Linked DNA regions of Arabidopsis thaliana. The protein of the gene in region 4 interacts with the protein of the main gene of each other region in a pairwise test. Each region holds a gene or a part of one and is shown on either strand. Other genes may lie near its edges.

What was found.
Region 1: the proteins of AT3G57600 (region 4) and AT5G26749 interact in a two-hybrid assay, tested with the Arabidopsis thaliana proteins (one large-scale study listed by BioGRID).
Region 2: the proteins of AT3G57600 (region 4) and AT5G12980 interact in a two-hybrid assay, tested with the Arabidopsis thaliana proteins (one large-scale study listed by BioGRID).
Region 3: the proteins of AT3G57600 (region 4) and MYB56 interact in a two-hybrid assay, tested with the Arabidopsis thaliana proteins (one large-scale study listed by BioGRID).

What each region holds. Positions count from the first base shown.
Region 1 is NC_003076.8:9,396,931-9,402,425, forward strand, and holds AT5G26749 (C2H2 and C2HC zinc fingers superfamily protein), read right to left. Parts: upstream 2,338-5,495; 5' UTR 2,310-2,337; coding exon 2,177-2,309; intron 2,093-2,176; coding exon 1,971-2,092; intron 1,824-1,970; coding exon 1,760-1,823; intron 1,629-1,759; coding exon 1,557-1,628; intron 1,465-1,556; coding exon 1,355-1,464; 3' UTR 1,085-1,354; downstream 1-1,084. Other genes in the region: SK 11 (shaggy-related kinase 11), read right to left, coding at 2,652-2,734, 2,837-2,939, 3,054-3,137, 3,239-3,334, 3,434-3,484, 3,572-3,712, 3,800-3,856, 3,953-4,027 and 4 more.
Region 2 is NC_003076.8:4,103,500-4,110,449, reverse strand, and holds AT5G12980 (Cell differentiation, Rcd1-like protein), read left to right. Parts: upstream 1-2,217; 5' UTR 2,218-2,310; coding exon 2,311-2,478; intron 2,479-2,919; coding exon 2,920-2,991; intron 2,992-3,166; coding exon 3,167-3,256; intron 3,257-3,378; coding exon 3,379-3,421; intron 3,422-3,654; coding exon 3,655-3,761; intron 3,762-3,985; coding exon 3,986-4,081; intron 4,082-4,294; coding exon 4,295-4,485; intron 4,486-4,568; coding exon 4,569-4,638; intron 4,639-4,789; coding exon 4,790-4,888; 3' UTR 4,889-5,067; downstream 5,068-6,950. Other genes in the region: GSL12 (glucan synthase-like 12), read left to right, coding at 1-5; CLE40 (CLAVATA3/ESR-RELATED 40), read left to right, coding at 682-775, 875-921, 1,115-1,216; AT5G12970 (Calcium-dependent lipid-binding (CaLB domain) plant phosphoribosyltransferase family protein), read right to left, coding at 5,149-6,950.
Region 3 is NC_003076.8:5,874,487-5,881,138, reverse strand, and holds MYB56 (myb domain protein 56), read right to left. Parts: upstream 4,027-6,652; 5' UTR 3,893-4,026; coding exon 3,511-3,892; intron 3,228-3,510; coding exon 2,802-3,227; intron 2,232-2,801; coding exon 2,068-2,231; 3' UTR 1,808-2,067; downstream 1-1,807. Other genes in the region: WOX12 (WUSCHEL related homeobox 12), read left to right, coding at 546-563. UniProt on the Arabidopsis thaliana protein: Acts as a cell-specific local repressor of quiescent center (QC) self-renewal by cell divisions in the primary root. Counteracts brassinosteroid (BR)-mediated cell division in the QC cells.
Region 4 is NC_003074.8:21,328,984-21,334,431, reverse strand, and holds AT3G57600 (Integrase-type DNA-binding superfamily protein), read right to left. Parts: upstream 1,659-5,448; 5' UTR 1,592-1,658; coding exon 758-1,591; 3' UTR 514-757; downstream 1-513. Other genes in the region: AT3G57590 (F-box and associated interaction domains-containing protein), read left to right, coding at 3,036-4,250; AT3G57587 (Ta11-like non-LTR retrotransposon), read right to left, coding at 5,075-5,448. UniProt on the Arabidopsis thaliana protein: Transcriptional activator that binds specifically to the DNA sequence 5'-[AG]CCGAC-3'. Binding to the C-repeat/DRE element mediates high salinity-inducible transcription.

The DNA.
Region 1 (5,495 bases), on a different chromosome or scaffold from region 4:
TGCGGGAAAAAAGTTTGGCGGTATTGTTTTTTTTGGCGGGAAAAAAAAAATATGGCGGGAAAATTTCAGTTTCCAATTACATGTTACTATTAGATGAGGGTAATTTGGTCATTCTGTTCAAGGGAAAAGGTATTTTTAAAAAAGAACCACATATAAGGGTATTGTTGCAAAAGGGTAGTTTTGCAAATCTCCCAAGAATTAAATTCTTTTAATTATAGAATCTAATCCATAATCACTCTTTTATAAAAACGTAAACAATTATTTAACCACATTTAATTGAATTTAGTTGTAAAATCCAAACCCTAAGCATTCTTTTATAAACTCAAATTGACTTATAATCTCGTTTAATCGTAAAATCTAAATCCTAATCTTTTTTATAAATCTAAACAGAAATATAACATTTAATTACAAGATCTAAAACCTTAACTATCCCTTTAATTATAAAATCCTAACTGAAATATAAGATATAACCTTTAATTATAACCCTGAAACCCTAAAACCCTAACAGAAATATAATCTTTAATTATAAAATCTTAAACCTAAACCGACATATAAGTAATTATAATACGCTAATCAAACTCTTCTTTATAAACTCAAACTATTTACTTTGTTCATAATTAAAATAAAAAATAAACTAAAACCCTCCATTATAAACCTAAAAACCAATATATAAATTTGAAATATTAACTAATAAATCATAACCTATCTTTTATAAACTCAAACCAACATGCTCGACTAAATTACTCTTAGGAGATTCGAAGATATTTCTCTCAACAATAAAGAGTTTAAAATTAGTTCTATTTTATGGAGTTGAAGAAATGAAAATGAAGTTAATAATTTAAATATTTGATTCTGAACAATCTGATTTTTCTTTTAGCCAACTTATACTCTGTTTCTCAATAATGTATTTTCTAGGGAAAAAATTGTTCCAACTTTGTAATTAATCTACAGCCTTAGGAATTGCTCCAACTTTGTCAAATATTTTGATAGTTTGGCTTGGGAAGTCTTGTTTAGCACATGGCCAGGAAGCGGATAGCGAATTAGCGATATCCTATCATCACGCAATGAATAGGGACGAGCCAACGAAATTTAAAGAATTTTATCAGAATATCGCACAGTATGTTAAATTGCAAATTTGCCATGTCCAAACTCCGAACAATGTCTCTAAAGTTGACGACAAATTGAGTAACAAGACGACAATTTGGTTGACATTCTTCCAACCTCGAGTCTGAAAAGAGACAAGCTTGTGGCTAAAAGCTTGGTAATGGCAGAGCACAACGAGACAAAGATTAGTCTTTTCCTTTCAAGTAGAATCATCAATGTTGAAACTGAGCATTATTCAGAGAATTTATATCTATCCCCAGTCTATGAAGGGAAGCTGAGGATAGCCTTGCTCAGGAGGCGGTTTTAGCGATGGCGGAAGATCAAACCAACCTGTTCCTGGTCTCCCACTAACAAAATCACCTGTTTTAGACAATTCAAACTTCCAACATCAGATTTTCTATAAATGCTTAAATATTAGAGAACTTGAATGACGAAAAAACAAGAACGCATACGGTTTAAAGTACTTCCTTGGATGTGTTGTTGGTTAAGCATGTCAACACGAAGTTGTGTATTATTTGTGAATCCTGCATTTGAATTCAACAAGAGGATGATGTTTTAAGCAAATCTTGCGCATAGTAGAGACTTCTTTAAAGCTTTAAGTAGCCTAAAAGAGACCAAATCACTGAAGTCAAAAATCAACAGGTTTTGACCTAACCTGTGCTTCCTGTATTGTTGTTAGGATGGAAGTATCTGCAAGAATCTCCAAATGGGCAAAAATTCTGCAAAACCCATTAAGAAAGGAACAGACTTTACTTGGAAGATTACATACATACACACATATGCAATGAATTTTTTTGCAGAATCAAACAAAGCAATGTAAAATGTGTGATTCCACCAGAATATAAACGAAAAGGACAAGACTTTACACATCCAGAGATTGCTAGGAATGATGAACATAGCGAAACAAAATCAATCCGACGTACCGAGGTAATGAATCGATTGCAGAGACCTTTCGTCGCAAAATTGGAGACTTGTGGATTAACAAGATCTAAGAATTTCGTATTAAAAGAAACAGAGATGTTAAAAATCGTTCCTTTAAGAAACAGAGAGAAAAAAGAGAGAAGAGAGATACCTGAGGAAGAAGAACTGTACCAAAGGGCTTTAGCTCGAAGATGAGGTTTGCTTTGAAGATGGCGTTTTCTAGCGACTTGAGTGTCTTGAAACTCTTTCTCGCAATAATCACAGTAATATTTCCCCGACGGCATCTTCCGGCGATGACGACGACGACTCGTAGAATCAAAAAGTTTTGGCTTTTATTAGTTTTAGGCGCGTGAGGATACTTGTATTTGCTACAGTGACTTTTAGGGTCTTTGTTTGATGATGTTGCAGAGGAAGAAGAAGATACAAAAGCAGAAGTAGCAAACTCTTTATCTAGATAAAAAATCTTGGTGGGCTTTTACATTATGAACCAACCAACCATAGTAATAACTCTTTTTTTCTCTACTCATACAACAAACAAAGGGTGCATATCAGTTTGTGACATATTGATACATAGAGAGGTAATTTATAAGAAGTGTTTGTTGTGTTCATGCTACATTAAGAGGAAATCACAAACCGAGCCAAGGACACTGCTTCCTTGCATGCTCAGGTACTAACTTAGCTACCATCTCCAATGGTACACCTTTCAGCTCTGTTTCACAACAATTACAGGTATAGCTTTAGTAAGGTAAAACTTTGATGATTTTACAGGTAAGTTGGAGATAAACACCATTAGGAAAGGGAGATGTTGTACCGTGAGGCTTGAAGTTGAAAAGCGGTGGAAGGAAACGTCCATTAGGTAGACGTGCGTTTGGGTCTCTTAACTCATCAAAGAATGGGTGGACTAATGTGTCGAGCTGTGATCAGGTTTACGATTCAAGTAAAAGCAAGTCAGACAAAAGAAAAATAGGAAATGAAAGGACCATCGAGAAGATTCACAGAAGAATGTTGAATTTGTAAGTAATACTCACAGCGGCACTTCGTAGATTAGGAGAGTATTGAAGAAGTCTTGAGACCAAATCAACAGCTTCTGGAGGCATGCGTTTGTGGAAAATCTGTGAATATATTATGACGAGTAGATATTGTCACATTGACTGTAACTGCTACTGAATAACACATTGACAAGTTGATTTGATGAATATAAGTTTATTTCTACCTTGTGCCATGGATGAGCTTTAATCTGAGGGAATTTGAATTCCGTGTAGTTTGGGTTCATGCACTTGATTTCTTCTCTAGTAGGCGTTCCCAAGACCTACCCCAAAGCATAACAAAAAACATTACATCAAATCTTCTCTCAGTATTATTGAAAACAAGAACTTGTTATCAAAGTGAACAAGTGCAAAGCTTATACCTTGATAATCTCTACAAGTTGATCAACACCGCTCTCACCAGGGAACAAGGGCTGTCATGAGCAGAGAATAGAGTTTGTCAATCACAAAATTCCAGGTTAAGTAGAACAAAAATGTTTGAATAAGATTTAATGCATTACCTGTCCAAGCAATAGTTCAGCTAGAACACATCCTGCAGACCAGACATCAATGGCTGTCGTATACTCGGTTGCTCCAAAAATAAGTTCAGGTGCTCTGTAATACCTCGAGCAGATGTAGGAAATGTTTGGTTCTCCTTTTACCTGTTTTCAGATATTACAATGATCAACAAGATTGAATCTAACTTTTTCCAAGAAACAAAGTACCCGGAAGAGGTTTATCAAACTCACCAATACTTTTGCACTTCCAAAATCACATAGCTTTACTTGATGAGTGTGCGGATTTACCTGTTCCATTACAGGTGAAAAAAGTAGCATTAGACAATGAAGAAAAGTATATTCCCGGGTATACTGTGAGCTCCTGTTTATTTAACTTGTACATACCAACAAGTTTTGAGGTTTTATGTCACGATGACACACACCAATGCATCGGTGAATGTAAGATAAGGCTCTAAAAATCTGCCAAACATAGAGAAATCCGATAAGAGATCCAAAACATAACTCTAAATCTAACAGAAATGTAATAATTGATACCTGATAAGTGTAAAGTTTGACGTATATAAGAGGCATTCTCTGATTCAGTTTGTTGTAGTGTTTGATAACACGATGAACAGTTTCTGGAACGTACTCAAGAACAAGATTGAGGTAAAGCTCATCTTTTTCAGTGGTTGAGAAGAAACAATGTTTCAGAGACACAACATTAGGATGGTCAAGTAGCCTCATGGTTTGAAGCTCACGGTTCTTGTACCTCCTATCTTGTAAAACTTTCTTTATCGCAACAGTTTCTCCTGTCTCAAGACATTTCGCCTAAATCACATAAGAAAATACAGAGGAATCCAATTCAGTCAATTGATAGATACATGATGTAAAACGTGAGAGATGATAAGCTAACAAAAACTCACTTGGAACACAACACCAAAAGATCCGTGACCAACAACACGCTCAGCCATGTAGCTAATTGTCTGCATTGACATTGTAGAAAAATTAATAAAAACACGAAACACTAACCAATCAACTAACTTAAGAAGATTAAAAGAACAGTTTTTTGCAAAGAAGAAGAATCAAAAACCTGTTTTGGTTGGCCATTTCTACCACCAATAGTAGTCACAATGATATGTCCAGTCTCTGTTCCATTTCCATCTACCACTGTCGCTTCCATTTCCTAACAAACCACAATCCATTATTTAGATTCTCATGAAATACATACCAAAAACTATACTACAACGCATGGAAACATACTTTATCGTCACGAATTTTCATGTCATTCATTTCTTCAGGCAATTTATCAACACCAGTAGAGTCTCTTGCTCCAGGATTAGGAGCTATACCCACTGACGCCATTTTTCAGGCTACAAAACTCTTCAAACTTTCAAGCCTGCAACAAATAACAACAGAGATTAAAATCCAATGAGTAAAGTTTGTTGCTTTACTAATAACAAAACACACAAATTCAATTTCAATAAAGGAACAAAACACAATTCTTTCAAGCTTAACAATTGAACACTTCAAATAAGTAAAAAACAATTTAGAACACTAAAATTACGAAAAGGAAAGTTTTTTTTTAACGGGAACAAAAAAAATAATGATAAGCCCAAAAAAAGTTGCAAAATTTAAAAGACCCAAACATTAAAACCAAATTAGAGTTTGGTAGAGAAGAGAGAATCTGTCGATTTTAAAATGATGGGTTAAATTAAAATTCATGGTGAAGCAGATCTGAAGCTAAAACCCAGAAGAAGGGATGAAGAAAGAGAGAGATCTTTAAGACGTACCGATGAAAACGTAAAAATCTCAGATCGATGAAGAGAAGAATTAGGATATTAAAGAGAGAGAGATCCGTACGAGTAAGGATTTGTGGGTTTTAACAAAAAAAAAAAAAAGGATTTGTGGGTTTGATGATTATGAATCTCTCTCTCTAACTTTATTTATT
Region 2 (6,950 bases), on a different chromosome or scaffold from region 4:
AATGATTCATCTCTTCATTGTAATGACAGGGAAGGGATCTTAATTTATCCCTTTTTTATCTTCATGGATGATTAGGGTTAATGTAATTTAGTTTTCAATATATCGCTTAGGTAAAAACATTGTAGTATTCATCTATAAATTAGACGTTATCTATCATTTAATGACTGTTTAATTATTTAGTTGAAGACCTCCATTGGTCCATGTCGAGGAAGATAAGGAACTTACTAACAACTTTTGCTTGGCCTATAAGATACAGCGACAACAAAGCTTTCAAAAATTCCCTAGTTACCAACTGGGTTCATTAATGGGCCGATAAGGAAAGCCCACGATCTTCTAAGAAGGATTAGCCCTAGTTTCCTCTGCTTCGTTGAAAGACAACTTAAAAAATGGCGGGAAGTTGTGACAATGTTTGGTTCGACAAATAAGCGGAGACGTGGCGGCGATACGTGGCACCACGACATTTGTACGAGAATGATAATTTGTCTTGGTTCGAGCCAGCCTGTAAACGGTAATCTGTGTCCGTACAGCTTAAATCTCATCCCAAAAAGAACAACCAAAATGACGGATTTGGCCCCAACAAAGCTGTAAAACGAGGTTAAAACCCGGAACTTTCACCTTATTAGACGACGACACACCTCTCGTCACTCTTGTCGAGACTCTTACCACAAAGAGGTTTTTGAAATGGCGGCGATGAAATACAAAGGAAGCGTTTTTATCATATTAGTCATCCTTCTTCTTTCGTCCTCACTACTTGCTCACTCTTCTTCTACAAAATGTAAGTGTCATGTGATATGTTTAATAATATTCTCATCTTTATTCATCGTTTGGGTTCAAAACATGATGAATCAATCCTCTTTGTTCTTTTTGTTTCTAGCCTTCTTTTGGTTAGGAGAAACACAAGATACGAAAGCCATGAAAAAGGTAAGAAAATCTCTTCCTAGAAACACAACGCGACTGTTTTGAAGGAAATGAACAATTCGTTTCTTATTTTTACAATAAAAAGTATGAAACTTTTTGTTTTCTAGCTAGCTCTTTGCATTTGATATTCGTTTGTATTTTTCTATATGATTTTGATGCAAAGATGATTAATTTTTTGTTTTGGTACTGAAAACAGGAGAAGAAGATTGATGGAGGAACAGCTAATGAAGTTGAAGAAAGACAAGTTCCAACTGGATCCGACCCTCTTCATCATAAACACATTCCTTTTACTCCATAGATTCATTCCTTATATCTTTTTTCTGTATCTTCTGTTTCCCATTGTTGACATATTAGTTTGTAATGCTTTTCACATTCTAGTTTTGAGTTTTGTTTATCCGAATGTTAAATTTCTATTTCAGGTTGAAAATGATTAACTTCGTTATTTACTATAGAGTATTTCAATTACTTCAGCCAAGATTTTGTGGATGCTTTGGAAAGATGCCAAAGCGTAACAACTTCCAATTCAATTTTTGTGATGAGTTAGTTCTCAAGATGAAGTCGGAAGCATTCGTGACATCAATTGTATATATAAATTTTGGGTTTAGAGTGTTTTAAGTTGGTATCAAATCACAATTAATTATTCTGTGACATTTGTTTCTAGAAGAAACTTGGGAAAACCGATCTTTTGGATGTGAAGTGGTAGATTGGTTGTCTAAGGTTTTGTACTAGAATTTTGTCTGATTTTAGTTTTAAAACGGTAAGATATATTTTCTTTATAAGGACAATATGGTGTATCTAGTTCTAATTTTGTGACTGTATATAGATTTGTTGATGCTAGATTGTTTGTCAATAAAATTATTGCATTGACCTTAATTAGTTTCGGTAGCCAATCGACCACTACTTGTTGAGTTTTGGAGCCACATATTCCCCTTGCATGTTACACCGAGTGACACGACAAATTCATGTTAAACAAAAATAAAAGGATATACGGTTAAACTATTTATTGTACCGCAATAAATAAAGATATTAAATCAGTTTATTTTGGCGCCACAAACAAAGTAGATATAGTGTGTGTTTTTTTGGCTTGTTGATATCAAAATACCTATGTTTTTTTATTGTCTTCTACATTAGCTAAGTCATAATGTGAATCATGTAAATCTTATAATCTATCTTTCAGAATCTTAAGTTGTGTGAGGCACGGGAGAGTCACGTGAGAGTTTTTTTTTTTTTTTCACAAGTCACGTGAGATTTAGATTTGAACAAATCCCGTAACGGAGCAAGCGAGGCACGTGACATACACGCCCCCCTTAGGTCCTATAAATACATCTCCTCCTTTCACTGTCACAAGTAGCGATTCTCTCTGCGGCGCGTGTAAACGGTGACGGGGCTCTAATGGCTAATCTTCCTCCTCCGCTCTCCATGAAATCTGTCGCCCTCTCAGGAGCTTCTTCTCCTTCTTCTTCCTCCAACAACGATCGGAAGCTATCATCGGCGGAGCAGTTAATTCTCGATCTCAGCAATCCCGAACTCAGAGAAAATGCACTTCACGAGTTGTCTAAGGTCATCTCTCTCTCACCGAATTCTCTTACTCGCGAATTTTTGATCGTTTGGGTTTTCGTTTTCTGCGTTCTATTGAATGGAATTTCGAATGTATTTGGTTGTTTAGTCCGGTGAATCGTAGACATGCTTTTAGATTACCGACTCCTAATTCTTCCTTGCCGCAAATTTTGAGGGAATTTGTACGATTATTGTTGAGATTGTAAACCTGCATGAATAGGGGATGAAATTAAATAATCGAAATAGTTCAACACTGATTAAGGCGTTGATCTCGATTGGTGAGCAATTTAAGTTGGTATGAGGATTCTTCACTGAAGTTAAACGTCTGGACAATTAAAAAATCAAATGGTTTTGATGTTTACTGTACTCATTGCTTTTGATTTCATACATTAAGAAGTTCTTCTCACTGAAATTCATGTCTAATCCCGTGTTTCATTATTTCAGAAGAGAGAGATCTTTCAAGATTTGGCTCCGCTTTTATGGCATTCTGTTGGTACCATTCCTGCTCTTCTACAGGTACCCTCTCCTCCATGTTATTATATGGCACTTGTTCCTTTATTCTTCAGGGGAATTTATTTATTGATTTCTGGCTTCTCTATATACTGTTATAGTTTTAGCATTTTAACTTTTGAGATTTGATGTACATTGTATTGGTTAAGATCTAGTCATTTTCTTTCTTTCCTCTTTTCAGGAGATTATCGCAGTTTACCCTGCCCTATCTCCTCCAACCATGACTCCTGCTCAATCTAACAGGGTGTGCAATGCACTTGCTCTTCTTCAGGTGCATAAAATATTGTCAGTTTCCTCTTTCTTTTTTAGGGAGACTTACAAACGTTTATATATGTATGTTCAATTTGGAAGACTCTATTTTTTATTGATTCGACTCTTTTTTCGTACATCCAGTGTGTTGCTTCTCATACTGATACGAGAATGTTGTTCCTAAAAGGTACAGTCCTGTGCCCGAACAATTCTTCCTTAGTTCTCATTCAAATAATTTCGGTGTTTGCTCTGTGACTAAAGTTATAGAGATAGATTGCATTAGTTGAATACCCAACCCGTCTACCAAAACTAGTTTTAAGAGCCACCTTGTTGGTCTCTTTCTGATTGATCTCATTTATTAGATGTGTGTTTGGCTATAATATGCTTAAAGTTTAAAGTCTGTTGCTTTTCAAAATACAGCCCATCTGCCATTGTACCTGTATGCTTTCTTGAATACATCAAGCAAATCAAGACCGTTTGAGTACCTGCGGCTGACTAGCTTGGGGGTTATTGGTGCACTTGTTAAGGTATGTATTGATATTTGAGTTTTGTTTCCTCGTCTAGTTATTTAGTATGTTTATGCCAAAAAGGCAGGAACACTTCTTTTACATGCTAACAACTGTTTGGCTGTAAATAAATATTTTGGTGATTTGAGAAACAACGATTTTAGCATGCTAAGACCTTTGAGTAGATCCTGTTAAGACATCATTAGTGATATTGGTCTTGCAACATCGTTCATTTGGTTTGGTAGGTTGATGATACTGAAGTGATCAGATTCCTTCTTCAAACTGAGATTGTCCCATTGTGCCTCCGGACAATGGAGAATGGCAGCGAGTTATCAAAGACTGTAAGTTTGTCTATCTTCAGATGCTTCTCTTTAGATTCACATGCTTGAAAAATGTATATCAAGTTTCCTATCATTTATACAGCCAGTTGCAAATATCTGAAATCTTTGCTTCATACAAAGAACTTGTATAAGTTTTCTTCTGCAATTGATGTTTCTGATTGGTTTTGGTCATGTACAGTTCATCTGATTGATTTATTTGAACGGTTATGTCAGGTTGCTACTTTCATTGTTCAGAAAGTTTTGCTGGACGATGTTGGGCTTGAGTACATGTGCACGACAGCGGAGAGATTCTTTGCTCTGGGTCGGGTTTTGGGAAATATGGTTACTTCACTTGCAGAAGGACCGTCCGCTAGGCTACTAAAGCACATCATACGCTGCTATCTTCGCTTGACAGATAACCCCAGGTGCAATAATTATCCATTTTCCTTCATTTGAAAACCATATTATACACTCGTGCTTACACAATACAGTTACTGATGACATTCAGAGCATGCGATGCACTTGGAAGTTGCCTTCCAGATCTTCTGAGGGATGCTACTTTCAGTGGTTGTCTCTATGTAAGTGTCATATCTCTTGATAGCATCATAACCAATTATTAGTGATTCTGATACCAAATTGTTATCTATCAGTTTATTGTTATCACGACTCAATTCTTTTGATACTTGAGACTTGACTGTTTTTAGCTAATCGTCTCACTTAATTTGGCAGGATGACCCACCTGCAATGCAATGGCTGCAGCAACTGCTCCACAACGTTAACGTTGGCGGGAGAGCACCTCAAGGGTTGGCTCATATGTTTGTGAATTAAATCGAACCCTTATAGTCTGGGCAGAAACTGTTATTCATTGGACAAAAAAAGTTAGTTGGAAACAGAATTACAGATGAGAAACAGAAACCCAACCAAAGATTTTGAGTTTGATGGATATATGTATTTGGATTTCTTGACCGTCTTATGATGTTGCAATCAATATAACTAAAATTCCATTGAAAAGACCGAATTAAGCATTAAACCCAAAGTTTTTTTAAATCCAACAAACGTTTTACAAAAGCTGATGCAGATAAATTTATCTATAATAGACTGTCAGATCTTGCAGGTAGCCTCCTGAAGAGATTGAGCGGCACAGAGGGTAGCTTGTGCCTGAACCTTGGATGCCTCAGCACATAGATCCCAGCAAGAAGTGCAACAACCTGAAACGGCGTAACATACAACACGATAGCAGCTATGAGACAGAAAAGCACAAACAATGTGGTTGCCCTCGGGTCTCTCCAGCTCAGCAGCGATAAAAACCGCTCTCCCTGTGTTGCTAGATCGCCTATCACGGTCTGAACCCGTCCTCCTATGCTTCTGAGCCGGTCATATCGCATCCGCACAATCTCAGAGGATCGGGAAGTCGGGAAAGTATCAAACTCTTCATCAAGCTCGTCGGGGTGAACAGCGTCTGCATGGGACAACCGTGTGTCCATGTGTGGCGGGTGCCTTGGTCTCCACCGGAAATTCCAGATCCCAATCAAGAAAAGGTACAAGAAAACCGTTGGGAGGATTAATTCCGGGTAAAGAACTAAGATAATGAAAAGAACATGAATGAGAATTGTGGTTATTGGGTTTCTCCAGTTGCAGATCTGATCAAACCATTTTCCAACAGCAATGAGACCACTCAGAACATTCATGATTCTGAAGAAGTTAGCTTTACTCCTCCTCATGCTCCACATATGGGAGTCAACATCGAGCATGTACTCCACAATCTCTTTGCGAAGAGGCGGCTCTGCGCGGTTCAGCCTTGCCGAGACAATGTTCATCGCCTGGTGTCTCAGGCTGTCCAGCTGGAGAACCGATAACGGATGGATGTAATGCATTTTGGGTAGTAATGGCTGAGAATACATATGAAGCATGTTGATGAGAGATAGGCAAGTGAACCGCACAGCTAACTGTATTTCACCTGTCTTCTTGATCCCAGAAGGATGAAAGACGAGTAGCGGATATGAATGAGTGTAGATACGGTCAGCTTCAAGGGTAGAGAGCCGGATTCTCACTTTCCCGATTCTCAAGTCTTTTCCGCTTCCGCCTGGAATGTGTCCGTTGTCGAATGCTCCAAAAGTTATGACAGTGCAGGTGTCAAACACTTCCCATGTGTACTGCTCATTCCATTTAGGCGTAAAACTATCCACGATTGTTCTTGTTCTAATCCATTTCTGCCCATACTTAGCCACGCAATATGCATCTGTTGTCCCCTTCCCGTCTTTTGACTTCATTGGCATCAGCCCGTGTGCACTTATGATCCCTACTTCAAGCAGTCCGATACTCGGTTTCCATAGCTGTTTTGCGGTTGGCCTTAGGTCGCTGCTGTAGTGAGTTGATTCATCAAGAACATGGTACCCACCTTCAAGAAAGATTCTTAGATGAATTCTGCTTGCGAATTTGATCTCTTTTTGCTCTCCTTCCACCATAATATGTTTCTCCAGGTTGAACCACCTCGAGTTAAGCGGCCTATGGTCTAACCTTCTTTGGACGTTCTGCAACGGGATTGCACACCGGCCTAACGTTTCATCTTTATTCGGTGCAACCCTATCTTCCACCGCGAGAATCAAAGCTTCCTCAAAAGGCTCAGCAACAACAAACATCAGATCTTCATTCCACATCGGATTCAATGTTTTGGTCTGAGAAATACGTGTTCTCAGAGTCTGGTTTCCGAGCATTGCTTTCACGTAAACCTCAGGGAACTTGGTTTTATCATGAGGTATCAAATCTTGAGCCTCAATTACATTGACCCTGACATACCAAAGCTTTGGCGAAAGATAAACCTTTGAACGGATATGTGTCACACCCTCAGGTCCGACCGTGGCTGCATCTGAATGCCAAGCATCAGAAAAAG
Region 3 (6,652 bases), on a different chromosome or scaffold from region 4:
GAAAATATAATAAAATATAAATCAATTTGATGTTTGTCGGTTTATGCATGTAATAAATGAATATCGTTTTTGTAGAAATTAATATCTGTAACTGAAGTTTTGTGATTTAACTAAGCTTTACGGATTGATGCAGCTCATATATATGGATGTATATATGTGACCTTTTTTATTTGGTCCAAGTTTTGATAAATATAAATATGTAGTATATATTATTTATTTTTAAAAATAAAGAATATAGCCAAAAACACAAGAACCAATAACTCCACTTTTGAGTAATTTTGTAAAATATTGAGTTCATTGGTCGAAGAGACCTTGGGAATTTATATTCTCTCTTGGCAAATGAATAGACGGTGTCTTTGCTCAAAAAAAGAAGAAAAAAGAATAGACGGTGGATATATAAAATGATGTTAAACCATTTCTCGTTAGGGTTTTCATTTTTCAATATTATCAGTAATTAGTGAACTAGCAGTTTTAAGAATTAAAATGCTCTAATTATTCCCTAATTAAGAATCTGTTTTTATTTGTTTTCCTTTTGTCATCGACAGGTACCGAGACAGACATGAACTGGCTGTTTTATGTGGGAACATATACGGTCGATTGTTTTCTTTTTTACCTCTATTGATTTCGTGTCTATCGTGTATAATTAGATTACAAATAAGTAATAATAAAAAGATTAAATAAATGTTGGACTCGTCAGATATTTTGCTTTCTTGTCGATTCTTGCTCGCCTGAACACAAACCTTATCTATCAAAACAAGCCAAATCTTAATATTTTTTTTTTCCACAGCCAAATCTTAATTAGAGATCTAGTTTGTGGAAAAAAGATGTCCCTCGGACTTGATATATTTAAAGATAATCCAAAAAATTAAACTGGTATGTACAAAAATCTTGATTTTTCGATGTAAATAGATCATCTTAGTACATAGCTGATCTAATCTATTTATCCAATGGATGAAAGGTATTAAGGTACTTTATACCATTCTCGATCGAGGATTATTATTTCTGTTTATCCTAGAGGATAACATTTAACATATCTTATCAAGTGAACATTTTTAATTTCTTAACTAACCAAGTGAACAATTAAACGAACAAAAAGAACTAAATGAATGACGGAATGAGAGAGCCAAAAGTAAAGTGTGTAAGTAATATGATTATGATTTTTTTTTTAAACAGAAAAATCAAATATAATGATTTAAATGCGAATCATAATCATATCACTAACAAAGTGCGTATATTTCTATATATGAATAGCAATTTGTAAAGTACACTAGTACAAATACAGTACTCGACACAGATCGCTAGTTACCATTTTTTCTTCTTGGGGATGTCAATTTTGTGAACTTGATATAATAATGAAAGAAGGGTAGGGTTTTTTTTTTTTTTTTTTTTGAACAGAGAAAGAAGGGTAGGGTTAAGTTCAAAATTACGACAAGAAACGAGTAAGCCCACTTCTATGTGAGCTTTTTGGACCCTTTGTAAATGAAAGGTACGTCTATATATGGGTTTCTTTTGTAGTCCTAGGCCCAACTTAACAATGTAGCTGGTATCCGATAATAGGGATCCGAGCCGAGCCGAGTAATTGAGATTTTAAATTTAAACAAGAACTCATTTCCCACGTTGATTATTTACTTAGAAATTCCTGAATTATTTATATATGTGACATTCCAAAAATAGCAGATAACATCCTTCATGTAATGCACTATAAAATGCAATAGGTTTATGATCAAAGCTTGTAATTTACCAACAAAAATAACTCGCTGGTTTTAGTTACTGCTATTGTTTCATAATCTATGTTAAATTTGCGTGTGTGAGTAAGGAAAATTGCAATATTTTATGAACACTTATTCTAATTCTACAGAAAAGAGGTTGATTATATATTCAACTTTTTATTTTACTTCTAGGTTTTGTTTTTGTTTTCAGTTTTCCCTCATACCGCTTACTTCTTCCAAAACCCAAATTAAGATGTTAAACAAACATGCCTAATTAACCAGGAAAAATAGAAGAAACTAAAGCCATTTCTTATCTCACAATTCCTCAGCATTGAACCCTAGCTCTGCAACTAATTAATCAGGAAGCTCCAACTCCAAGAAAATCAAAGTAGTAATAGCCACTCCTCATCTTCATCTCCACCTTTCTTTCACTGACTGAGATTGTGTGGTGATTTTGATGGTCCATCTTTTTACCATATATGCCATTTACTTCTGCTCTCTGCACACACTGACCATCTTTGCCTGCAAAATTAGAAAAATAAGTTCTCAGCACCCACGTGAAATTTTGTTATATTGAAATAGTAACGTGACAATAGTACTTCACCTCCTTATATTATTATGCCTATAGGTACTCTTACGATGTAAAAACAGTTTCTTTCTTTTCTAGTCATTCAAATTTATAATTATTGCCATGTATATGAAAAAGTGTAGGAAGTGGTCACTCGTCGTCGGTTATACAACATGTCGGCCTAAATTATCATTTTATATGCTTTGAACATTCAAAAATTAACAAGACTGGAATCTAATAAGCTAAATTTAGACCACAAATGATATTTGGAAGTACCGGTTAAAGTATAAACCGATCATGATCAACGATACACCCAATAAAGATTGCAATACGATCTCGACCAACCGACCGAGATCATTATAGTTAGATTCACGAAAACACTTCTCAAGAAAGCCGAAAACGAAAAAAAACATTCCAAGTTTCTATACTTTTAATGTCTTGGGTCATGAAAATAATATATTTTCAATAGAGAAAAAAAAAAAACATAGTAAACATAATATTTAAGCAAATAAATAAAATGTTACCTGATGCAAGGGTACTATCGTAATTAAAGAAGCGAGGCTGGTAAGCTGAAGAAGGCGGAGTGAGAGAGAGCTCCGTCGTACAAGTAGAGACAGCTGACACATCGTCGTCGTCATCTTCTTCATTGATGAACTTACCTTGATTGTAGCGGCAAGAGGACGAAACCGTCATTTCAGCGTCTCTTGACAACGTCGGAGGAGGCTGTTGACGTTGTCTTTGGCTTTCTCTAGTCCGTCGAGCCATGATGACGTGCCAATGGTTCTTGACAGCGTTATCGGTACGACCTGGAAAGAGACGAGAGATCAAAGCCCACTTGTTGCCATAGGCTCGATGAGCTGCTAACAGCCTAAACTCTTCTTCCTCCGTGAAGGCTCTCTTGTTAATCCTTGGGTCTAGTTGGTTAAACCATCTCAATCTACAACTCTTGCCTGTAGTCAAAGAAGTGTCCCTCACATTATAAAAATTAGTTACTATCAAGCATTATGTCATTATGCCTTATACAACTTAGTCTAACTTGTAAAAACTATTTTTAAAAAAATCCAAACACAATTACGAAAATGCCTAATAACTTTGGAAACTCAACTCACCAAAGTTTTTAAATATATTTACTTATTTTTCTTCTACATAAAAATAGTTAAATTTGCGGAATTTGGAGTAACAAAAGTGAAGGAAATAATTAAGTAATAAGAATTTTAAGTAAAATAAATGTACCTGATCTACCAAGAAGGTGGTTAGAAATCAAGTTCCAGTTTTGGGGACCAAACTGGGCAACAAGCTCCTTGAGTTTAGCATCTTCTGTTGGTCTCCAGTGTCCTCGTGAGCATACTTTTGTGTTAATTCCACTTTTGCCCCTCATTCTTAAACTCTTTTCGTTTTCACCTCTCTCGTTCCCATGTTCATCTTCCGACTCCAAGACTGAGGCTGATTTGTTGTGAGGATGGTTTCTAGAGATAGAGGGGTTGTTGAGTGAAGTTTTACAAGCAGCAGTGTGTGAGTTTGGTAGAGATCTGAAGTTGTTTGCTTCTTTGTATCTTATTGACCCATTTGTAGTTTCCTTACCTCTTAGATCTTTCTCAAGGAGATTTGGATTCATGTTTCTGGGTTTAGGGATTAAGGGAAGAGAAACTAAAAATAGAAGAGAGATAGAGGGAGAGAGCACTTGAATGGCTTTTCACTGTTTATATGGTGGAAGAGGAAAGAGAGATTCTCTAAAAAAAATTATTGAAATTTATATTTTTATTTACATTTATTTGCAAGCTAGTTAATATATATAGAAGAATATTTTAGAAAATGATGATGAGTGCAGAGTGGTTATTTAATGTACATGAAAAACAAAATTGATAGCTGTTTATTCACACACCAAAAGAAATTGAAGGGAAAGTTTTGTAAAAGCATATTCAAATGAATTACAAGTGTTAATTACCAAATTGTGGCCTAATAATCCCATGCTAATGGTTTTATACAATTACGTGCGGTTTCATTTTATTTATCATTTTTTTTTTTTTTTCAGCAACCACATTTTAACTATATTTATAGTCGATGCCTCGATGGTGGTCGTACAAAATCGAAATTCGATCATTAAAATTCCAAGATAGATCTATAACAATTTTTCATCACTATCTTCATAAGAGCTGCTTGTTATTGTACTAATATTGTGTTAATTAAATAGTTAAAATGAAACCGCACGAAAACATTAAATATTCAAGGTTCACGTTTTCCTTCACGTACGTTGCGATTTAGTTTTTACTCTTACACGAAAAATTTCGAATAATGAGATACTTTCAGTACAAAGCTCTCTCTCTCTACACGTGCAAAAGTAAGGGATTTGGAAAAGTCGGTGGGTACGTGTAGTGTAGATGCATGCAAAACGAGACCCGCTCGTGCGTGTGGGAGGGTTCGATGACCATAGGCCCCACAGTCTCAACAGTCTCGGAAACTCCAAAAAACATTTTTGAACCGCTCGTGTGGCTATAGTATATACTATGCACACATACAGATATTGCACGTACGTTAAGTGTGTGTGTGTGAGTTAATTATGGGAAAAAACAACAGAATCAATTTTTGTCTGTTTCGGACACAAAGCAAGAAAAGATCTTAAAGGGAGAGAAATAAATTGCTTTTATGAGCTTTCTGTTCTCTCCATAACGTATAAGTGTGTATATATATATTCGCATCTTTCAAAGAACTCGTTTTGTGTAGTTAAATTATAAAGTAATATGATGATTAGCTCAACAACTAGTTCAAGTACTTCAATATCTTTTGAACGATGGGTTCGACGTCGTTTGGGGTGTATACATTTTTACTTATATACTATATTCAGTGAAATTCAAGCATTGTTTTTGTTTATTACTTAAATAGTTAATTGAACTCAAACAATGTTGTGCGTACATTTAATGGAAAACAGACGTGGCAAACAGAAAACATATGCACATCCTATATTTTTTGCTACTAGTTTAAATTTAAATTTTGCTGTAATTTTTGTTTCAGGATGAAATATATAATCTTTGTTGAAGTTTTTTAAAAAAAACTATCATCAAATTGGTTATTTTAAAGTAAGTTTTAGGTACGAAGGGAACATAGTTTTTTTAATTTTTAGGAAAACTAAAAGTACAAAAAAGAGAAGAAAATGTGAATGGTGACAAACAAAAGTTCAATTCATTTCTTATAAACCAAAAATAATAATTGAACAACCAACTCTATTGAAGACCATTATTATTCAATGATATGGACTATTTATGCTCCCATTGAACCTATAAGTTGTAGACTTTAGTTTTTTGTATCTTTTTGATATAAGAATTGAGTGGTCATTCGTTTGAATGTAATAATTATCTTTCATGCGTAACAACTTACTATAGTCTTGATATGACTAAACAAAGCTACATATTTTAGTAATTGTACTAAACTCGATCGAGTATGCAACCACATAATTTTGATGGATTAAAATACTAGAGATTAAAGAGAGAAATCATGTAACTGAACTCGAACTAGAATTAAATTCAACAATAATAAATGAAGAATAAAACAAATATAACACGAATAGACGTTAGAAACCAAAGAAACGACAGAAAAGTACCTAAAGTTTTTTATTTATTGTGTCTTGTTTTTATGTGAGTTTCGGTTATGGGAACGGTTTCGTTAATTTTGAAATCTTCTGTTGACGACAAAAAAAAAGTCTTGTACCGACGTGGAATGACGACATCATTGGCTGTTACACACGAGCGGATCGTGTTCTTACCTAACACGTGTACCGTCCTCACGAATTTCAGTTTCCGGTTCATAGAAAAGTTCCCCGAACCGTTATGGACCAATTCCACTTTTCTTTTGTTTTTTTATTAAGATACTTTGAATGATTATTATTTAATAACATTTTTGCAAATCATATTCTCGACTATGGAAGAATTATTTTTTTCCAACGACCATGAAAGTGGTCTGTAATTTGAAAGATTGTTGTATAATTTTGGGGTAAGAAGAGATAATATTAAAGACATACCGATAAACAAACATATATGAAAGATGTGGAGTATATGTAATATGTTTCGGGGGATAGATATTTTTTGTTTCGTTTGGGTTGCCATTTATTTTACAGCTATTTTATAAAAGTAATCGATTTTTAATGAGGGAGTTGTTTCATCAAATACTATCGACTGTATTTTAGGGGTTACATTTAAGATTATCAAAACTTCGACTTAAATTCAAACGTCTAATATAAAATTTTATGTGAAGTTGTTTAATGGTCCGATTAATAGCGCAAGACGGTAAGAGCTTTGTAACTGTACAAAATAGTGATAAAAATGGTGGTATGGTTGAATATGGTAAAAATGATAAGAGATGAAAAATGGTACGATAAGAAGTC
Region 4 (5,448 bases):
TGACTAGTGTATCTGTTGCATTGTTTCTAATATTGGAATGAAGAGGAATTCTGTGCTTAAGCAGTGAGGTTGCTATATTCATAATGTTTAAGCTTTCGTGTTTGATCTTACTCTATTCGTTCCATTGATAAGAGATCCTTTTATGTCTTAAACCTGAGAAAGTCGTGAAGGTTCATTGTAGCTGCTGTTTATGCTTGTTGAATATCTGTGGATGTTATCTATACTTAGCAAATTTCTTCAGATTTTGATCAGTGCTGGCAGGTGAAACTTTCTGGTGGGAGTTTATGCATCGTGTGATATGTCTCTAGGTTATTCAGTTTTGTTGTTTTCTTTTCTCGACAGAAAGTTTGCGTTGGTCAGTTCGAAGGCGAATCTTAAAAATTTGTTCATACCATCATGATCTTTATTTATTGATCATGAGTTTCTAGTATTATTGAGATATTAGATGTGATCTCCATGAAAGGGGATATGATAGGTAAGCTTTTTTGCATTGTTACTTGCACAAAACATATCATTCTATTAGGGCCGTGACTTTCACTTACTATTTAAACTATCGAGCTAAAGGATAGCGAAAAAATGAACATGCTTCATTAATATACCAAAAAAAGCGAACAACTCGGTTGTACACTGACTCACTTTATTGCTGCATAATAAAAGACTGCACTCTCACTACCTATGTCTCTTTTCCAAAACGCTACACTAAATCCAAAACCATTTGTGTACTTCTGAATCTTGATCTACCTTAAATTGCTTTTACTCAATCTAAGCTTCCGTAGTAGTCCCAGATGGAAGGGAAGGATACATCATCCTCAAAATCATAGCTTCCGAAGTTGCTGGAGTCAAATTGCATAGTTGTGGTTTCACTTCTTGGCATCTCGATCAGGGTATCCCAGCTGAAATTCTCAGTTCTGAAAGGACTTCCAGTTTCTTCTTGCTCGTTCCATGGTGGAGGGGAATGACACTCTGCTACCTCACTTGGTTCTGCTTCATTTTCATCCTTCAAGATTCCTAGTTGCTGAAGAAACTCGGTCAGGTCGATCTCTGGTTTCTTCTGATCACCACCTTCGAACATATTGTCTGTTTCTCCCTTGCTGGTCTTCTCATCAAGAAAGCTAGTATTAGTTTTTGATTCGGTGGAGGAAGAACTAGAAGAATAGGATTGAGATAAAAGTCCAGTTTTCTTGAGTTCTTCTAGTCTTTGCTGGATTATGTGAACACTAGGCTGAGCATTCACGTTTAGCATACCACATGAAGGAAACATAGATATAAACTTCCTTGAAGGTACCCATTTGAACCTCTGAGAGTTACTCAGAGAAGGTCTTGTATTCCGCTGAAGATGAGGTAAGTTGAGGTATGCGTCGTGCCCATAGAGTTTCAAGGCAGCCTCATCATAAGCCATAGCTGCTTCTTCAGCTGTAGCGAAAGAGCCAAGCCAAAGTCTTGCCCTCTTCTTGGGCTCTCTGATCTCAGCCACCCATTTGCCCCAAGTCCTTTGCCTGACTCCACGGTACTGACAAAGAGCGTTTTGTGGACCGCCTTTACCCCGAGCAGGACCCTTCTTCCATTGTTTCATTGAGGATGATTTCTCCATTTGTGTTGTAGTGGAGAAGAAGATTGATAGTGAAGAAGGAAGAAGAGGATATGATAATGGAGCTTAGAAAGAGTATGTGAGTGCTTAAATAATGTCACGGTTCGCTTCAATTCCTAGAGAATTGCTTTTTTCACCCGCGCATGTGACCGTTGCTTTTCTCATATTCTGTTATTTTCAAAAGAAAAAAAAAAAAAAAAACTTTTAACCATTTTTGATCTCAACTTCATATTTATATAATTCTTCTACCTAGGCTCAAACTAGAATAATATAATCCCTAGTTCTTGGTGTCCCCTGCATTCCAAACAGTCGCAATGCCAACCTTATTAGTTATTACACCTTTTTGATGATAGCTTAAGAAGTTAGAACAATTGCACACACACATTTTTTTTTTTTTTGGATTATTATGTTCAAAAATTTCTGTTAATCATCAGGAACTCAAATGTTTTTTTTTTTGTTTTTCTTTGTTATGACTAGCTCTAATATTTTACTTGTACATGTTACCAAGATATCTAGCGAGACAAGGTTTTTTGGGTTCCTAGAATTATTTTTCTTGAGGACACTTTAAAGCTTTAAAGCTTTTACGATATCTCATCTTTATCTTTTTGTTGTTTCCTTCTTTCGTCGGAGAATCGGAGAGCCATGCATGAGAAAAAGAGAGGCAAGAGTCACGAGTCGTCGCAGCACACAAGAATCACATGTTCGATCGTGAGAGTGAAGTGACGTGTTTTCTTCATTCTCGAGATTTTCAGATTTAAGCGCCGCTCCCTTCACCATTATCCCATGCTTCTTCCTTCCTCTCTTACCATCACATTTAACTCACCACATTGTTCCCTAATCCCATTTATTTTAATAGTATATGACTTGTACATAATTCTACACAAATCCCAAAAAATAAAGAAAAAGTAATAACTGAACCCATTTTCTTCTGTTTCACTAAAGCAAAAACACAAACTGATTATATTTCTATTTCGTTTTTATTGATTGTTTAATCCAAAAAAAGGAGTGCTAAGCCTAATAAATTTATCTCTGTATTGACACATTTGTCACCAGATACTAAGCTTTTGCTTTAGCCATTAAACAATTGTTCTTCATCCTAAATCAAAAAGCAAGCTCTACCTCTACTGTCTTTTTTTTTTGTTGCTAATAGTAGCTAGAGATTCCATAACCAGTTACCAAAACATATTTGGTCTTTACATTTTACATGATATTTAGAATCCCTGTGAAAACTAATCCTTCATTCGCTACCACATATCTAACATACCGATTGGCACGTGAGAGAACAAACCAAAAGTCCCAATTATCGCAATGAATAAATGGGCTTAGCTCATTCACAACTATGCTAAAGCCCAAAGGCCCATACAATCCCAATCTTGTTGCGTCGTATTAAACCTTCTCCTTCTCCGACGAAACAATCACACACTCCGGCGGCAATAAACGCTTCTTCATGGAACCAATCCCAAATGATCTCATTCTCGAGATCTTCTCGAGATTGCCGGCGAAGTCAGTCATTGGATTTCGTACCTTGTCGAAGCACTGGGCGTCTATGCTTCGCAGTCCAGTTTTCACCGAGCTCTTCCTGACCAGATCCTCGAATCGTCCACGTCTGCTGTTTGCTGCCGAACGAAATGGTGAGTGGCTCTTCTTCTCGTCGCCGCAGCCACAGAATCGATATGAGAAGTCTTCTCATTTGGATTATCATACAAAATTCTCAGGAGACGTAAGCCGATTCATTTGTAGCTATGTCTCAGGTTTGCTCTGTTTCCCTGATTTGTGGCTCTCAAAAGATGCATCGCCTGTGATTTGTAACCCTACCACAGGAATGTATGAGAGCTTACCTGATCTGATGAGGTACAAAAATGCTCGAGGCTTTCTAGGGTTTGATCCCATTGGTAAGCAATTCAAGGTATTGTCTGAGGCTTATCCATTTTCTGATCAAAGGGAACATCATGAGATTCTGACATTAGGAACTGAGGAACTGAGCTGGAGGAGTAATATCATTAGTTGTCCTGCATATGATCGTTCTTTGAGTGAAGGAATATGTATCAATGGAGTTTTGTATTACTTAGCTCAGACTCTTGGTGTACCGTCTTGTGTGATCATTTGCTTTGATGTAAGGTCTGAGGAATTTAAGTATTTTGACGCAGGATGCTTTAATGATCAACTTGATGATACTAGTGGGTTGATTTTGGTAAACTATGAGGGTAAATTAAGTGGGATTAATTGGAAGTATGGTCAAGCTGGTGAAAGGCGCACCGTTGAGTTGCGTATGTGGGTTCTAGAGGATGCCGAGAAGCATGAATGGGTTAAATATGTGTACACTCTGCCGGAGAATGAAGTCCTTGATTCCTGCGACTTTTCAGTTGCTGGAGTGACTACTAGAGGTGATATTGTTTTGTGTATGAAATATACATGTAAACCGTTTTATGTGTTCTACTTCAATCCCGAGAGGAACACTCTCCAGAGCGTTGAAATCCAAGATTTTGGAGCTAACCTTGAAGCGGTTGAGAATTGTGGTAGAGTTTATGCTTTTGTTAACCATGTAGAGGATCTTCGGGTTAACAAAGGGAAGCAACTCAAGTCAAGCATCTCTCAAGTCAAGCATCTCTGCTCATGCTGTAACAAAGTATCGCAGCCTGATTATCATTACCAAAAGGCTTAAACCAAAGGGAGAGAAGAAATGAAAGAGACAGTAGGGAAGAAAAGAGACAAGGGATGAGGTAAAAAGCAGTAGGGCATGTCATATATGTGTTTATGTTCTTTAGTTATAGACGTTGGAAGATCTGTGAGTATGAATCAAATCTAGCTTTGGTAGTGTATTACAAATATTTTGAAGTGAATCGTATTGTAGCATTGTTGACCTTTTTTTGGTTAATCAATTTTTCCTATAGTTTAATGATATCTTCTACCCGAAATTAAAGTGCAATTTCTACTGTCTATTAAATTTCTGTACTCTGGTATCATTATTTTGTATTTTAAAAAGTAGCTGGAGATTCTATACCCAAACTTATTTGGTCTTTGCATTTCACATAATTTTATAGAATCTCTACGAAAAGTTAGGCCAATACCATCGTTTGCTTGCTAGCACACATACGGACTTCATTGGCACATGAGAGAACAAACCATAAATTACGACAATGAATAAATGAGCTCATTCACAATTACGCTAAAGCCCAAAGGCCCATCAAATTCACTGTCTATTTCTTTCGTTTTTTTTTTTTTTTTTCCCTAAAAGTTATCTTTCATTCATTCATGTCATTGTGTTCTTACAAAAAGTGTTTGAGTGGTCTAACCACTTACAAACCTTTGATTCAAACATAACAAGATGATCTTAGAAGTAAAACGAGAAACATGAAATAATAAACCTGAAACTTAACAAAGTTAAGGATATGTCAGAACCAAAAAAACATATCCAACTACTTGAAGCTGCTATCCTAGATTCCCTGTAGTCTTCAACAAAAATTGACAGAAGTCTTGTTAGAGTGGTTATCTCTTTTTGGGAGGTTTCAGACTCTCTCCCATTCTTGAAGCACTGTGTAGACGAGTTTGAAGTCTAGGATCCTCTGCTTCTCTTCTTACTTCCTGTCTTCTTGAGGATTGACCGACTTCAAAGACTCTGTTGTTATCATGATTAGGAGTGTCTGCTCTTGTTGGAGTGGTACTAGAACTCGATGACCATTGTTGTCTTGCAGTACTAGATTCTCCAACATGTAATGTATGAGTATCTCTAACTGATGCATAGTATGGATACGCAGCTCTCAATTCTTCAGGATTCAGTGGTGGATGAGCAATTCTAGGAGGCGGTGTCACAGGAGCAGGAAATGAAGTCTCCGTCATCTGCGATTGAGAGTTCAAGCTTG